Linked DNA regions of Anolis sagrei. The main gene of each other region encodes a partner of the protein of the gene in region 2 in a complex. Links are inferred from orthologs where the notes say so. Each region holds a gene or a part of one and is shown on either strand. Other genes may lie near its edges.

Region 1 (7,095 bases), on a different chromosome or scaffold from region 2:
GGAACCAAGTTCATCAACACCAAATTTGATCATTCCCACATTACCCAGTTAAAAAGTTTCTTAAGCAAGCTGCATCAGTACTTAGCTGTTTTGAGTCTCCTTGTGGAGAGAAAAAGCAGGGTATAAACCAGGAGTCCTCAAACTAAGGCCCGAGGGCCGGATACGGCCCTCCAAGGTCATTTACCCAGCCTTCGCTCAGGGTCAACCTAAGTTTGAATTTATTTGAAAGCACACAACAATGACAATCCTATCTCATCAGCCAAAAGCAGGCCCACGCTTCCCATTGAAATACTAATAAGTTTATATTTGTTAACATTGTTCTTCATTTTAATTATTGTATTGTTTTAAAGTGTTTTTTGCACGACGAATAAGATATGTGCAGTGTGCATAGGAATCCATTCATGTTTTTTTCAAATTATAATCCGGCCCTCCAACAGTTTGAGGGACTGTGACCTGGCCCTCGGTTTAAAAAGTTTGAGGACCCCTAGTATAAACAAACATAATAATAAGCTATCAAGGATACACACAATGTGATTCAAACAGACATAAAAGCAATCAAGGACTGATGTATGCCCATAAGGATTCTACAAAATATGGTGATTGTGTAATATGCAATCACTAAACAACTGAAGAGAAAATTAATATTAGAAAGCAATTTTATTTTGAACTGAGTTTTAGTAACTTTCAAAAAGATAGTCAGCCAGACACATAAACTCCTTACTGAGACTATGGCCTCATCTACACTGCTATATAATGCAGTTTGAAATTGGATTATATGTCAGTATAAACTCACATAATGCAGTGCAATGAAGTTAAACCGCATTATATGAGCTGATCAGTGTAGGGTCTGAGGTTTTCAAGCTTTTCTCTTTCTCTGAACTAATATTTAATTTTCTAGCCATATTCATCTCAACAGAAAAATAAGAGACTGTCTTAAATGAACACCAGGAACACATATCTATGTAGTGACACATGTTTTGGAACTACCTGTTGTGTTTCTTGCGCCATCTTTCCATGTATCAGGTGTAATGACAGTACCCAGTTTTCTCTCACCTATTGAAAAGTGCAAAAATACAAAGCAAAGATTGTGACACTCTGAACAGTTTTATAATGAAAACACATCAGAAATGTTGTTTACCCCCCTGGCGATACTAGTAAAACAAAGTAGTTCATTCTTTCAATTCTAGTATCATACGATGCTATAATGGGATGTGAAGGATGCATAGCATGAGTGTTACTCATATTTACTCAAAAGGAAATATTATTCAGATTAGTGAATGTACTGCCAAGTTATTATACATAAGATTGCAATTCCAAACGGACTTACTTAGGAGAATACAGTCAAACATATAAAGCCCACGTCCACCTTCCATTTCTCTTCAAGCCCCTATCCCTTGTTAATATTGTATTAACAATATGTGATATTGTTATAAGAATCTCATAATGTTTTCCTGGTTTATAATAATAATAATAATAATAATAATAATATATTTGTAACCCGCCCTTTCTCCCTGAGGGGACTCAGGGCGGTTTCCATCAAAAGTGGCAAACATTCAATGCCATAATAAAACAAACAGCAAATCAATCAGCATAATAAATAAAACATCAATATAAACTAATAAAAACTAACCAATACTACCCAAAAAGAACTTAAATAAACATAATATATCACATTACACACATTTACCAACATAATACGAGTAAAACTGAGTAGCTAAAATGCATTAAAATATGGAGTGGTTAACTGCTACCAACAGGACTGAGGGAGATTTTCAGTATCTAAATGAGAGTATACAATTAAGATATACTAATCTGCCTCCACTCCATATGCTAAAGTGCATAAATAGGTTTTTAAGGGGGGCATTTTTAGTTCTTTAGGGAGGGAGTTCCAGAGTTATGAGTTACTAAAAAAATTGTGCAAATTGGAAAAGGTTCTTTCCAAGTGTATATTCAGTGAGAAATCCTTTTGGAATGTAGGGTTTATGGTTTGTTTTATTTCATGTCAAAAGCATACCACAAATAAATAAGTATAAAACTGATAAAACAAAGAGAGCACAAGCAGTTAAATCATTGTAGATCAAAACCGGGAAACAACAACCACACTGTCTGTCGATTTAAATAGTTCTTCCGCTGTGCATGAGGCGGGGCATTGTGGGCAAGCATACAGATACGGAGTTGTTTGTTCTGCTCCACAATCGCACAAAGTGGAGGATTCTTCTAGGTAGTGCCATTTTGCCAGGTTGTCTTTTGATCTACCAACTCCGCTTCAGGTAACACTATATGATCTTCTTCTTGTTGTCCGAGTAGGATTGTCTTCCAAGATCGGTGTACTGGCTGTGGGTCTATATACGCATCTCCGTTTATGAACCCACGCGTTCTCTTCGCTCATCCGGAGAAGCCCTGCTCACGATTCCACCTGCGTCGCAGGCGCGTCTGGTGGGGATGCGAGACAGGACGTTTTCTGTGGTGGCCCCCCGACTCTGGAACACCCTCCCCAAAGATATTAGACAGGCCCCTATGTTGGCAGTCTTTAGGAAGAACTTGAAGACTTGGCTGTTCCGATGTGCCTTTCCAGAATAGGAAAACTCCAACAACATGTCCCAGAAGCACTTTATTAGACTTTAAGATTGCTTGCACACTGCACTTACCGCCCTTCTCACCCCAAAGGGGATATATCTGTTTAGTGCAGGCCTGGGCAAACCTGGGCCTTCAGGGTGTTTTGGACTTCAACTCCCAACCGGTAGGCTGTTAGGAATTCTGGGAGTTGAAGTCCAAAACACCCTGAAGGCCCAAGTTTGCGCAGGCCTGGTGTACGGGCTTGAAAACTGTCTCCATTAAGACAATAACAATAACAACACTCTATTATATAGTTCTTTCACAACTATATATCCCTGTCTTTTCCACTCACACTTTTCGCAGACCATGGCGAACCCCACTCGCGAAGCCAACAGCAGCGTCTCCGACAACAATACAATCCCTTCGCACTTCCGGCTTCCTGCCTCCGCTATTCACTTCCGCCTTCGTCGTATTGGTTGAGAACGCCTAAGGGGCGGGGAGAAGGCAGGACGCAAGGCACGTAGGGCGCGCGCAGGGCGTGGAGCGCGATGACGTCAATGGCTTCTCCTCAGTGATGGTGGTGGTTGGGAAAGGGGCTTGGAGGCGCCCTCTTGGATTCGGCCCACTAAGCCCCGCCCACTAGCAGCTGAAGGCAGACAGGTGAGCTTACCCTTTCCCCTCCACTCCCTGGAACTATAGAATTAATGTACTCTTGACACCACTTGGACTGCCCTGGCTCAGTGCTACTGAATCCTGAGAGTTGTAGGCCTTTTGAAACTACAACTCCCAGGATTCTATGGCCAGTTCAAATGGTGTCCAACTGCATACATTATACAGTCTGGAAGCACCCTCTCACTGGATTTTTATTGTAATGTAATACTACTAATAATGCAACTTGTATGCAGAACACATCATGCGATGTGCGGGGCTTAACAAATGCAAGGCTGAGGTGAAAATTGCTGGAAGAAACATTAACAACCTCAGATATGCAGATGACACCACTTTGATGGCCAAAAGCGAGGAGGAGCTGAGGAGCCTTCTAATCAAGGTGAAAGAAGAAAGTGCAAAAGCTGGGTTGCAGCTAAACATAAAAAAACCCAAGATTATGGCAACAAGAATGATTGACAACTGGGAAATAGAGGGAGTAAACGTGGAGGCCGTGACAGACTTTGTATTTCTAGGTGCAAAGATTACTTCAGACGCAGACTACAGCCAGGAAATCAGGAGACACTTACTTCTTGGGAGGAGAGCAATGACCAATCTTGATAAAATAGTGAAGAGTAGAGACATCACACTGGCAACAAAGATCCGCATAGTAAAAGCAATTGTATTCCCCGTAGTCACCTACAGATGTGAGAGCTGGACCCTATATAGCAGTGGTTCTCAACCTTCCTAATGCCGTGACCCCTTAGTACAGGTCCTCATGTTGTGGTGACCCCCAACCATAACGTTATTTTCGTTGCTACTTCATAACTGTAATTTTGATACTGTTATGAATTGTAATGTAAATATCTGATATGCAGGATGTATTTTCAGTCACTGGACCAAATTTGGCACAAATACCCGATACGCCCAAAATTTGAATACTGGTGGGGTTGGGGGTGATTGATTTTGTCATTTGGTAATGCTGGAGTTGCTGGGATTTATAGTTCACCTTAAATCAAAGAGCCTTCTGAACGCCATCAATGATGGAATTAAATCAAACATGGCACACAGAATTCCCATGACCAAGAGAAAATATTGGGAAAGTCTGGTGGACATTGACCTTGAGTTTTTGGAGTTGTAGTTCACCTATATCCAGACTGTGGACTCAAGTAATGATGGATCTGGATCAAACTTGGCACAAATACTCAATATGCCCAAATGTGAACACTGGTAGAGTTTGGAGAAAATAGACTTTGACATTTGGGAGTTGTAGTTGTTGGGATTTATAGTTCACCCACAATGAAATAACATTCTGAACCCCACCAATGATAGAATTGGACCAAACTTTCCACACAGAACCCCCATGACCAACAGAAAATACTATATTTTCTGATGGTCTTTGACGACCCCTCTGACACCCCCTCGCGACCCCCACTGGGGTCCCGACCCCCAGGTTGAGAAACACTGCTATATAGGGAAGGCTGAGCGAGGGAAGATAGACGCTTTTGAACTGTGGTGTTGGAGGAAAGTGGTGAGAGTACCTTGGACAGCGAGAAGATCCAACCAGTCCAAACTTCAAGAAATAAAGCCTGACTGCTCATTGGAGGGAAGAATAGTAGAAGCCAAGTTGAAGTACTTTGGCCACATCATGAGAAGAAAGGAAAGCTTAGAGAAGACAATTATGCTGGGGAAAATGGAAGGAAAAAGGAAGAGGGGCCGACCAAGGGATGGACGGTATCCTTGAAGTGACTGGATTGAGCTGGGGGTGGTGACGACCGAGAGGGAGCTCTGACGTGGGCTGGTCCATGAAGTCACGAAGAGTCGGAAACGACTGAATGAATGAACAACAACAAAAAAATACTACTAATATACGAGGGTTGAATGAAAAGTAATGCCTCCACCTTCATAACTCAACAGATGGTAGTCATGGTATGTGGCAGGTACTGGTTTGTTCAGTAGACCCTCCCTTGCAGTTCCATTTTGGCAGGAAGCCTTAGCATTGAACGTTAAAGTGCAAAGTATGGAACCCTGCGCAGACAGTCGGTCAATGCGACTTAAGCACCATGCAGTCATTGAATTTTTGACAGCAGAAGGTGTCACCCCCAAAATGCAAGCTGTTTATGGTGATTGTGTTGATGTGAGTACTGTGCATCGTTGGGTGAATAAGTTTAAAGACCTCACTACCTCTGAGGATGCTTGCCATAGATGCAGGTGAAACGTCAGGAGAGAATGCCTCTAGACCATGGCCATATAGCCTGAAAAAACTACAACAACCCAAGTTTAAAGATGTTGAGGTGGGAACATCTGACTTGCATGACAAAGAAAGATTTGGACGTCCTGTGACAGCAACCACCGAGTTTCACAAGCAAAAGGTTGACATGTATTGTCGAAGGCTTTCATGGCCAGAATCACTAGGTTGTTGTAAGTTTTTTAGGGCTATATGGCCATGTTCTAGAGGCATTCTCTCCTGACGTTTCGCCTGCATCTATGGCAAGCATCCTCAGAGGTAGTGAGGTGACTAGAAAAGGTTGACAGATTGATTCAGGATGATTGTCATATCACTCAGAGAAAAATTTCAAGCATAATCGGCATTTCACAAGGACGTGTGGGTCACATTATTGCTTTGCTAGGCTATCGGAAGATCTGTGCACAATGGCTACCCAGAATGAGAGAATGTGAGACGCTGGTTGCGGAAACAGAGCGTCGACTTCTTCCGTGACGGCTTCAGAAATTATGTTCATCGTTGGCAGAAATGTATCCAATTGTCTGGTGATTATGTGGAAAAGTGAATAGTGGTAGTTAAAAAGCACATTCTAAGGATTATATCTGCGTTTGATTTATTAAAATATTCCCATCCAAACACAAGTAGCGAAGGTGGAGGCATTACTTTTCATCCAACCCTTGCATTATATATAATCATAATAAAAAATGAAAATGTGTATGTGTGTATGCATATAGTACAATATAATATATGGTAATGTAAAAATTGTATATCATATATTGCATATGATATTACTAATAATATTGCGCTATAGTTGTAGTACAATAAAATAATATATAATTATTTATAAATGCAATAAATAATTAAAATACTAATATTGTGCTATGCTAATAATATAATATATTAAACAACAACAACAACAACTATATTTTATCCCACCCCATCTCCCCAGAGGGACTCAGGGCATCTTACAAGACAACAATACAAACCAGTGCAGCATAAAATATACAACAAAAATTGCAACAATACAAATGTATAACAAAAGAAATAAAAGTAAGACATAACAATTGAAATTTAACATAAATAAATTGGATCAATATATGTTGTGAATTTTATGTGCTTATTGTATTTTAGGCCATCATATCTTATATTCTTTATTGTTAGATCAAATGCTAATTTTTGATTTTTAAATTATTATTATTATTATTATTATTATTATTGGATGTTATGCCCCTATCATATTTTGTGCTGTTTTGTCGTATTTTCTTTCTTATTAGGCCAAATGTTAATTTTTGTTTTTATTATTCTTATTCTTATTCTTATTAATTGTGGGTTTTGTGTTGTTAGTATATTTTGTGTTGTCTTCTCTCATGTTCCTCATGGTAAATACTTAGGAACAGTGTTGTGATTTACTTTTTGGTTTTTAAAGTTATGATGATGATGATGATGATGATGATGGATATATACATAGGTCAAAGCATGCGGGTACTGGGTATGTATGATGGTTGGCTGGTATCATAAAAGCTCCAATGTGGCTTGGTTGACCTGAACCAAACTTGGCACACATATCTTTCATTATACAAATCATTTAGGGTTTTGAACTAAAAAAAAACTCCTTTCGGGTCTAGAGCAAAGGGAAAGAAAAGGAATAAAGTAGATTGCCTGTGGTTAGG
Region 2 (7,885 bases):
GGGCATAGACAGCCAAACAACCACCACAGGGGTCTTAACCCTTCCCCATGCTATTTAAAGCATGTGTATTTGTGTGCACGCATGTATATGTATATGTGTGCACACACATACATATACTGTATACATATTTGGCTGGAGTTACAGTTCTGTTTCCGCTTACATACAAATTCAACTTATGAACAAATCTACAGAACCTATCATGTCTGTAACTCAGGGACTACTTGTATAGCATCAGATACTCTACAGCTGGGGTCCTCACACTTTTTAAACAGAGGGCCAGGTCACAGTCCTTCAAACTGTTGGAGGGCCAGATTATAATTTGGAAAAAAAACATGAATGAATTCCTATGCACACTGCACATATCTTATTTGTAGTGCAAAAAACATTTAAAAACAATACAATAATTAAAATGAAGAACAATTTTAACAAATATAAACGTATTAGTATCTCAGTGGGAAGTGTGGACCTGCTTTTGGCTGATGAGATAGGATTGTTGTTGTTGTATGCTTTCAAGTAGTTTCAGACTTAGGTCAACTCTGAGCGACGGCCGGGTAAATGACCTTGGAGGGCTATATCCGGCCCCCGGGCTTTAGTTTGAGAACCCCTGATCTACAGCATCACAAATATACACAATTGGCACTAGATAAGCCAGCTAATAAATGCAGTGAGCCTTCCTCCTTTAGAGGCCTTTAAACTGATGTCAGATGGGCATCTTTCAAAAGTGCTTCCGTTATGTATTGAGTGCTGCACCTTCCATGCTTAGTATTCTATGGTTCTAAGAATTTGCCATCTCGATCCAGATCTCTAGTAATAGACTTATATGTACCAATGAATTGTGTGCACTTAGCAAGTAAACTGTACTTCATGTTATAATACATTTGTTAGCCGAAAGCAATGGTATTCCCCATAGTCACCTACGGATGTGAGAGCTGGACCATAAGGAAGACTGAGCAAAGGAAAATAGATGCTTTTGAACTGTGGTGTTGGAGGAAAGAGCTGAGCGTGCCTTGGATTGCTGCTGTGTTTTTCAGTGTTTTTATGAGTGACGGTCACTTGTTGGCCTGATAGGTGTATTCTGTCCAAATTTGGTGTCAATTTGTCCAGTGAGTTATGTTAATCCCACAAACGAACATTTCATTTTTATTTATATAGATATACCCAGGGCCATATAAAGGTTTGTTGGCTGGAAAGGATTCCTCCAGTCCATCCTCCAGGAAATAAAGCCCGACTGCTCATTGGAGGGAAGGACAGTAGAGGCCAAGATGAAGTACTTTGACCACATCATGAGAAGAAAGGAAAGCTTGGAGAAGACAATGATGCTGGGGGAAACGGAAGGAAAAAGGAAGAGGGGCCGACCAAGGGCAAGATGGATGGATGGGATCCTTGAAGTGACTGGATTGACCCTGAAGGAGCTGGAGGTGGTGACGGCCAACAGGGAGCTCTGGCGTGGGCTGGTCCATGAGGTCACGAAGAGTCGGAAATGTCTGAACGAATGAACAACAACAATAGCCGAAAGCTGTCAACAACTACAATCTGAACACTAGTAAGTCTCTAAAGAGTGTAATTTTGACAGAGCCAGCCTGCCTCATTGTAACACGGTTTCTGTTCCTGGGTTATCAATGTAACCCAGCGGTGGCCGGGAGAGCTTTTGCACAACTAAAACTTGTGCGCCAGCTGTGCCCGTACCTTGGGAAGTTGGATCTGGCCACGGTGGTCCACGCTCTTGTTACATCCCGATTAGATTACTGCAACGCACTCTACGTGGGGTTGCCTTTGAAGACTGTTCTGAAACTCCAAATAGTCCAGCAGGAGGCAGCGAGATTGCTCACCGGAGCGTCATACAGGGAGCATACCACCCCCCTGTTGTGTCAGCTCCACTAGCTGGCGATCCAATTACAAGCACAATTCAAAGTGCTGGTTTTGACCTACAAAACCCTATACGGTTCCGGCCCAGTGTATCTGTCCGAACGGATCTCCCTTTACGTCCCACCTCGGAGTCTAAGATCTTCTGGGGAGGCCCTGCTCTCGACCCCGCCTCTATCACAAGTGAGGTTGGTGGGGACGAGGAGCAGGGCGTTCTCAGTGGTGGCCCCCCACCTGTGAAATTCACTCCCCAGGGAAATTAGATCAGTGTCATCCCTCCTTTCCTTTAGGAAAAAATTGAAAACATGGATTTGGGACCAGGCATTCGGATAATCTGGCAGATAAAGAAAGGACTTTGACGATGGACAGGAATTGACTAATGAATGGAATTATGGAACTCTGAAAGACGAATGCTGAGCATGAGATTAGTTTTATTGATGTGTTATATACCGACTGTTTTAACTGTGCTAATTGTTTTAATTATGGTTTTGTACGTTATGTGTATTTTGTGTCGGCATCGAATTGTGCCTTTTTGTAAGCCGCCCTGAGTCCCCCCTCGGGGGTTGAGAAGGGCGGGCTAGAAGTACTCGAAATAAATAAATAAATAAATTTCCTAATTGGGTCTATCATAAAAACATGGAAAAGATTATTAAACTGCAAAGACCTTGCACTGGGGCATCTTGCAACACATTTGCTCTAGTTTTTCAATGAATATCTCAATAGAGGATCGACCAATTCCACATAGTTTACGGCAGCCACAAAAACGAAGTTTCTGGAGTAGAACAACTACCTTCAAAGTAAGTACTGCCCATTTAAACATTGAAATAACACTGTCAAATCCTTGAATTTAACAACATTGAGACGAGGCAGTTAAAGCGGTGTCGAAGTGCGCTCATTCCACAATGTAGCTGCGCCTTGAGAGGCGCCCCCTGCTCCTAGGCCCAAGCTGGTCGAGAGCAGGAAGCCGGCCTACCTTTGCAACTCCCGTCCCTCGACGGCTGAGAGGAAGTCGGGCTCCTGCTTCGCCTCGCCGCCATCCTGCCCGGTCACCACCAAAAACCGCCTCCGCCCAGTGGTCCGAGTGAAGCCGAAAGAGACCGGGGCCGGCGGAGTGGCCGCTGACTTCTCTGCTCCTTCCGCCATCTTATTTTCCCCTGCCTTGCCCCGCCCCCATCGCCACTTACGTCGTTGCGTTGCATCATGGGAGACGAAGTTTTAGAGACTCCCGCTTCTTTATCGAAGTTCTGAAACAGAGGCGCCTGAGGACGACAACTCCCAGGATGCAATGCGGCAACAGCACTTCCTTCCGGAGCCGGCCGCACATAAGTCATGTTGCGCATGCGCTTCTTCTCTTCCACGCTTTTCTCTGCTCTCTGAAGATAACAATCGAGCACTGTCTGAATTTACACTGGTAATTATAGAGACCTTTGCTTTTTCTTATTCGGTTTGCAGATTTATAAAGAGATCATCGTTTATGGATGTCTCCACTGGATACCCGATGTCCTTCCGTTGTCTCGGTTTGTCAGGAAAACTCCTCCCATTTTTTCAGATGCTTTTAAGGCCCCCTGTCATATAATCCAGATTACCAAAGAAGATCAGCCACATTAGCTGCTTTGAACTGGATTATATGAGTCTATACAGTCTGGAAGGGGGGGGGCAGAAGACAGTTCCATCTTGTCTCCTGTGGTTTACTTATATAATATATTGTATATACATATATTTATAATATTGTAATGTAAAACAATATAATACTAATAATAATACAATATAATAATTATATATTTTATATTACATGTCATATTACTAATAAAATTACAATATAATGGTAATTATAGTATATATATTAAAATGCTCTGTGCATAATGAGTACCTTAAAAACAAAAGAACCAATTACACCAAATTTGGCAACAAAACATTTCACAACACAAAGAGTGACCATCACTCAAAAATTATGATTTTTTCATTTGGGAGTTGTAGTTGCTGGGATTTATAGTTCACCTACAATCAAAGCGCATTCTGAACTCCATCAATGATGGAATTGAACCAAACCTGGCACACAGAACTCACTTGACCAACAGAAAATATTGGAAGGGTTTAGAGGGCATTGATCTTGAGTTTGGGAGTTGCAGTTCACCTACATCCAGGGAGCACTGTGGACTCAAACGATGAAAGATCTATGCCAAATTTGGCATGAATACTCAATATGCCCAAATACGAACACAGGTGGAGTTTGGGGGAAATAGACCTTGACATTTTGGAGTTGTAGTTACTGGGATTTATAGTTCACCTACACAGAGCATTCTGAATCCCACCAACGATAGAATTGGCCAAACTTCCCACACAGAAGCCCCAGGACCAACAGAAAATACTGTGTTTTTCTTTGGTGACCCTTTTGACACCTCCTCACACACACACACACCTGGGGTCCCGACCCCCAGGTTGAGAAATGCTGCCTTAAGGCCATCCAGTCCAACTCCTTTCACCAGGGCAAGAAAATATAATCAAAGCCCTTCTGACAAAGAGCCATCCAGCCATAGATATAAATAGATAGATATGATCCACACACAGATATAGTATCATAGATTTGAAAAGGACCCCTAAAGAAGAAAAATTATATGTTGCATGTTCTACAGTAGGCAAACCAGACCATCTCCACATCAACACTGGCAAAGAAACAGCAAGAAATATTGTTTACCCACAAGCATAAAGAAATTACATATATTAGAAACCAACACTTTCCCGTTACTTTATTTTCCAGATCAGCAGACTGGGCCACAGCAACCCGTGGCAGGTGAAAGTTAGTAATATATAATACTGACATTATACTATGCTAATAATATATATTGAATGTATATATATCTTGTAAGCCGCTCTGGGTCCTCTTCAGGGTGAGGAGGGTGGCATATAAATGTCATAAATAATAAATAAATTTTCTATAGCAGTGTAGAAGGGGTAATTCCACACGGCTGTATAACCCAGAATATCAAGGCAGATAATTCACATCTGCTTTGAAATGGGTTATCAGAGTCCACACTGCCATATAATCCAGTTCAAAGCAGGTAATGTGGGATTTTATACAGCTGTGTGGAAGGGGCTTTAGCCAGTGGTCAGAGAGGTTAGGAACTTTTGTCTAGAAACACATGTTTTCCATTCCTATAGTGTGGGGGTTTGATAGGCTGTCTGCTCTGATTGTGCATGGCAAGGGGTGGACTGGATGACCCACGTGGGCTCTTCAGCTTTATTATTCCTTGAACCATCTTCACTTTTAACCAATATGGATGCCTTGATTTCATTGATTATAATAAGCCAATGCTGCTGCTCAATTCATAATTCTTGCTGACATAGTAGTCAATTGTTTTTCTTCTCTCTCACATCCAGGACATTTCATGTAAGGGAAGATGGGACGTTCCTCTAAGGACAAACGGGACATTTACTACCGCTTGGCGAAGGAGGAAGGCTGGCGAGCTCGCAGCGCCTTCAAACTTCTCCAACTGGATGAAGAATATCATTTGTTTCAAGGTGAGCCCCATCATACAATTGGAATTCATCTATCCAGAATGTGTGGGGTGAAACATTTCAGTTGTGCATGGGAGTGGTACAATCTTGCAGATGTTCTTGTACTGCAACTCTGATCAATCCTAGCCATCTTAGCCAAGGAGGACTTTTATCTGGTAGGATAAAAGTGATGGGAAGTTAAGCTGCAAGAAATAATCAAATTTACTCTGCCGAATAGCTGTCAGTTTTGGCCCTCCATATGTTTGGGACCTCAACTTCTAGATTTCCTGAAGGTCCAAAATATCTGGAGGATCAGAGTTTGAGAATCACTGGTCTAGACCACTATTCTTAAACTGTGAGTCCCAACCTCAAATGGGGTCCCCTTTAGCTCAATATTGGGATCACAAAAAAATTGGAAAAAGGTTTCTGAATGCCACCCATTTTCACAAATTTGCAGTGTTTACAGTGGACTGTGCAGAAATCACTTCAAGCTTGGCAATAGAACACTTCCTTTGAGCATATACAGAATACTGTTTGTTTGCCATGGAGATAATATTTTGGGGCTCAGAAGCAAGGCTATCATTTCGAAATTTGAGCAAACTTGGAAACCTTCCTTTTTCCCCTACTATCTTTTTTCAGGAAAGAAACCCATGAGTTGTACTTCCTAGTCTCATATTGCAGTCTTCTTGCCATGGCATCCCCTTACCTTTCTTATTCCCTCTTTTCTCTCTCTAGGTGTCTCAAGGGCTGTGGATCTCTGTGCTGCTCCTGGGAGCTGGAGCCAAGTTTTGAGCCGAAAACTGAAGTAAGCAAGTCACTTTGTTGTAGTGTTTATGGGGGACTACCACCTTATAGGAGATAACCAGAAATTCATCCTCAACACACACACACCCTTTTTTTTCTACAGAGGAGAAGGTGCTAAAAATGAAGATGTCAAAATAGTGGCTGTAGATTTGCAAGCCATGGCTCCCTTGTCTGGAGTTATTCAAATTCAGGGGGACATTACCAAGGTATTGTGTTTCCAACCCAATTCAAAATCCACCCTACCTCTCCTTGAATTTAAGGCCTACTTAATAGCAACCCTTTGGCCATTATAACCCACCCCATCACTTCTCTCCCTCTGCTTCCAGGTCTCTACAGCAGAAGAGATAATCCATCATTTTGAAGGGCAACCTGCTGACTTGGTGGTGTGTGATGGAGCTCCTGATGGTAGGTAGAAATCACAGCCATAATCTTACTGTTTCTACTTTTCCCAGGATTGTGCACCATTGGCCAGGGAGAATCTGCCATCTCTAAACAGGGTGCAGTCAGCCTCCCACATTCTCTGGGCTTAAAGGCACAGTGCCTCCCTAAATGTAAAATATCATACATGAAAAATTGTTGCTTTTATTAGCTGAGAAAACATGTCTCTAGGAATTTCTAGATCTTTCTGCTTGGTTCTTGGCTCAGCATCTGCTAGAAACTGACCATAGGATTGCACTGGAAAGCCAAGAGACCTTAGAGAAGTGTTCTTTTAAGTATTCTTCAGCGTGACTTCATGGCCTGGAGGAAGTTGACCATAGAATCACACTGGAGGACCTGGAGATTCCTAGAGAGATTTTAATGAAGTCTATAAATCAAATCCACAAAAGTCGAACCCACAAATGTGTAGCACTGACTATATTTCTCCAGTACCTTACTTCTTTCATGGCTTCTGTGCTCCTGTCATAATTGCTTATGTCTGTGTACTGCAGCCACATTCTCAGTCCACCTGGGACTTATTATTTATTTATTTATTTACTATATTTCTATACCACCCTTCTCAGCCCGAGGGCAACTCAGGGCGGTTTACAAAACTGGCACAATTCGATGCCACAATAATATAAACAGTTAAAAACATATAAACATCCATAAAATTCCATAAACAATAAAATCAATAAAACATAAATCCTCTGTATCTAATTTCCAAAATCTTTAGCCAATTGCAATTCTCCAGTTAGCTTTACAAAAAGTGAGGAATAGCTTCCTGTATTTATTTTGATGTATGTATCCTTTGCTGTTCCAGTGACAGGGCTCCATGACATTGATGAATACATTCAGGCCCAGCTGCTGCTTGCTGTGAGTATTTCCATTGTTCCTCCCTCTCTCCCAAACTCAGCCCCGTTGGATGTAGGGATTGATTTACATTATGGAATACATTTCCTTTCAAAGGGAAGCTGCCTAGATGGCAGGGAGTCTATCAGATCCACACGAGCTTAGGAAACTTACCTTTTGGAGACTAACTCCTAGACTCCCTCAGGAATCATGGCTAGTGGTCTGGTAGATGGGAAGTTCTGGGCATTGAAGTTCCCCAAAACACATTTTTCTGAATTTTAAATCTGGGAACTCTACACTGGAAAAATCCAGCTCTAGACTTTGGAGGGACCTTATCAAGGTGCATGTGCTCAGTGCTACGTGTCCTTCCTAGCATATGCATGCCAGTTTCCTGTCTGTCTGTCTGTCTGTCTATCTATCTTATCTATCTATCTATCTATCTATCTATCTATCT

The links. The genes of interacting proteins can lie anywhere in the genome.
Region 1: GPKOW (region 2) and CRIPT share a complex: the UniProt entries of both Homo sapiens proteins name them as parts of the minor spliceosome. The link is inferred for Anolis sagrei from reciprocal best matches to the Homo sapiens genes GPKOW and CRIPT.

What each region holds. Positions count from the first base shown.
Region 1 is NC_090021.1:26,646,269-26,653,363, forward strand, and holds the start of CRIPT (cysteine-rich PDZ-binding protein), read right to left. Parts: upstream 3,028-7,095; 5' UTR 2,925-3,027; coding exon 2,909-2,924; intron 1,054-2,908; coding exon 988-1,053; intron 1-987. UniProt on the Homo sapiens protein: As a component of the minor spliceosome, involved in the splicing of U12-type introns in pre-mRNAs. Involved in the cytoskeletal anchoring of DLG4 in excitatory synapses.
Region 2 is NC_090022.1:179,133,981-179,141,865, forward strand, and holds the start of GPKOW (G-patch domain and KOW motifs-containing protein), read right to left. Parts: upstream 3,049-7,885; 5' UTR 3,007-3,048; coding exon 2,837-3,006; intron 1-2,836. Other genes in the region: FTSJ1 (tRNA (cytidine(32)/guanosine(34)-2'-O)-methyltransferase), read left to right, coding at 5,262-5,382, 6,094-6,163, 6,266-6,368, 6,489-6,567, 7,403-7,455. UniProt on the Homo sapiens protein: RNA-binding protein involved in pre-mRNA splicing. As a component of the minor spliceosome, involved in the splicing of U12-type introns in pre-mRNAs.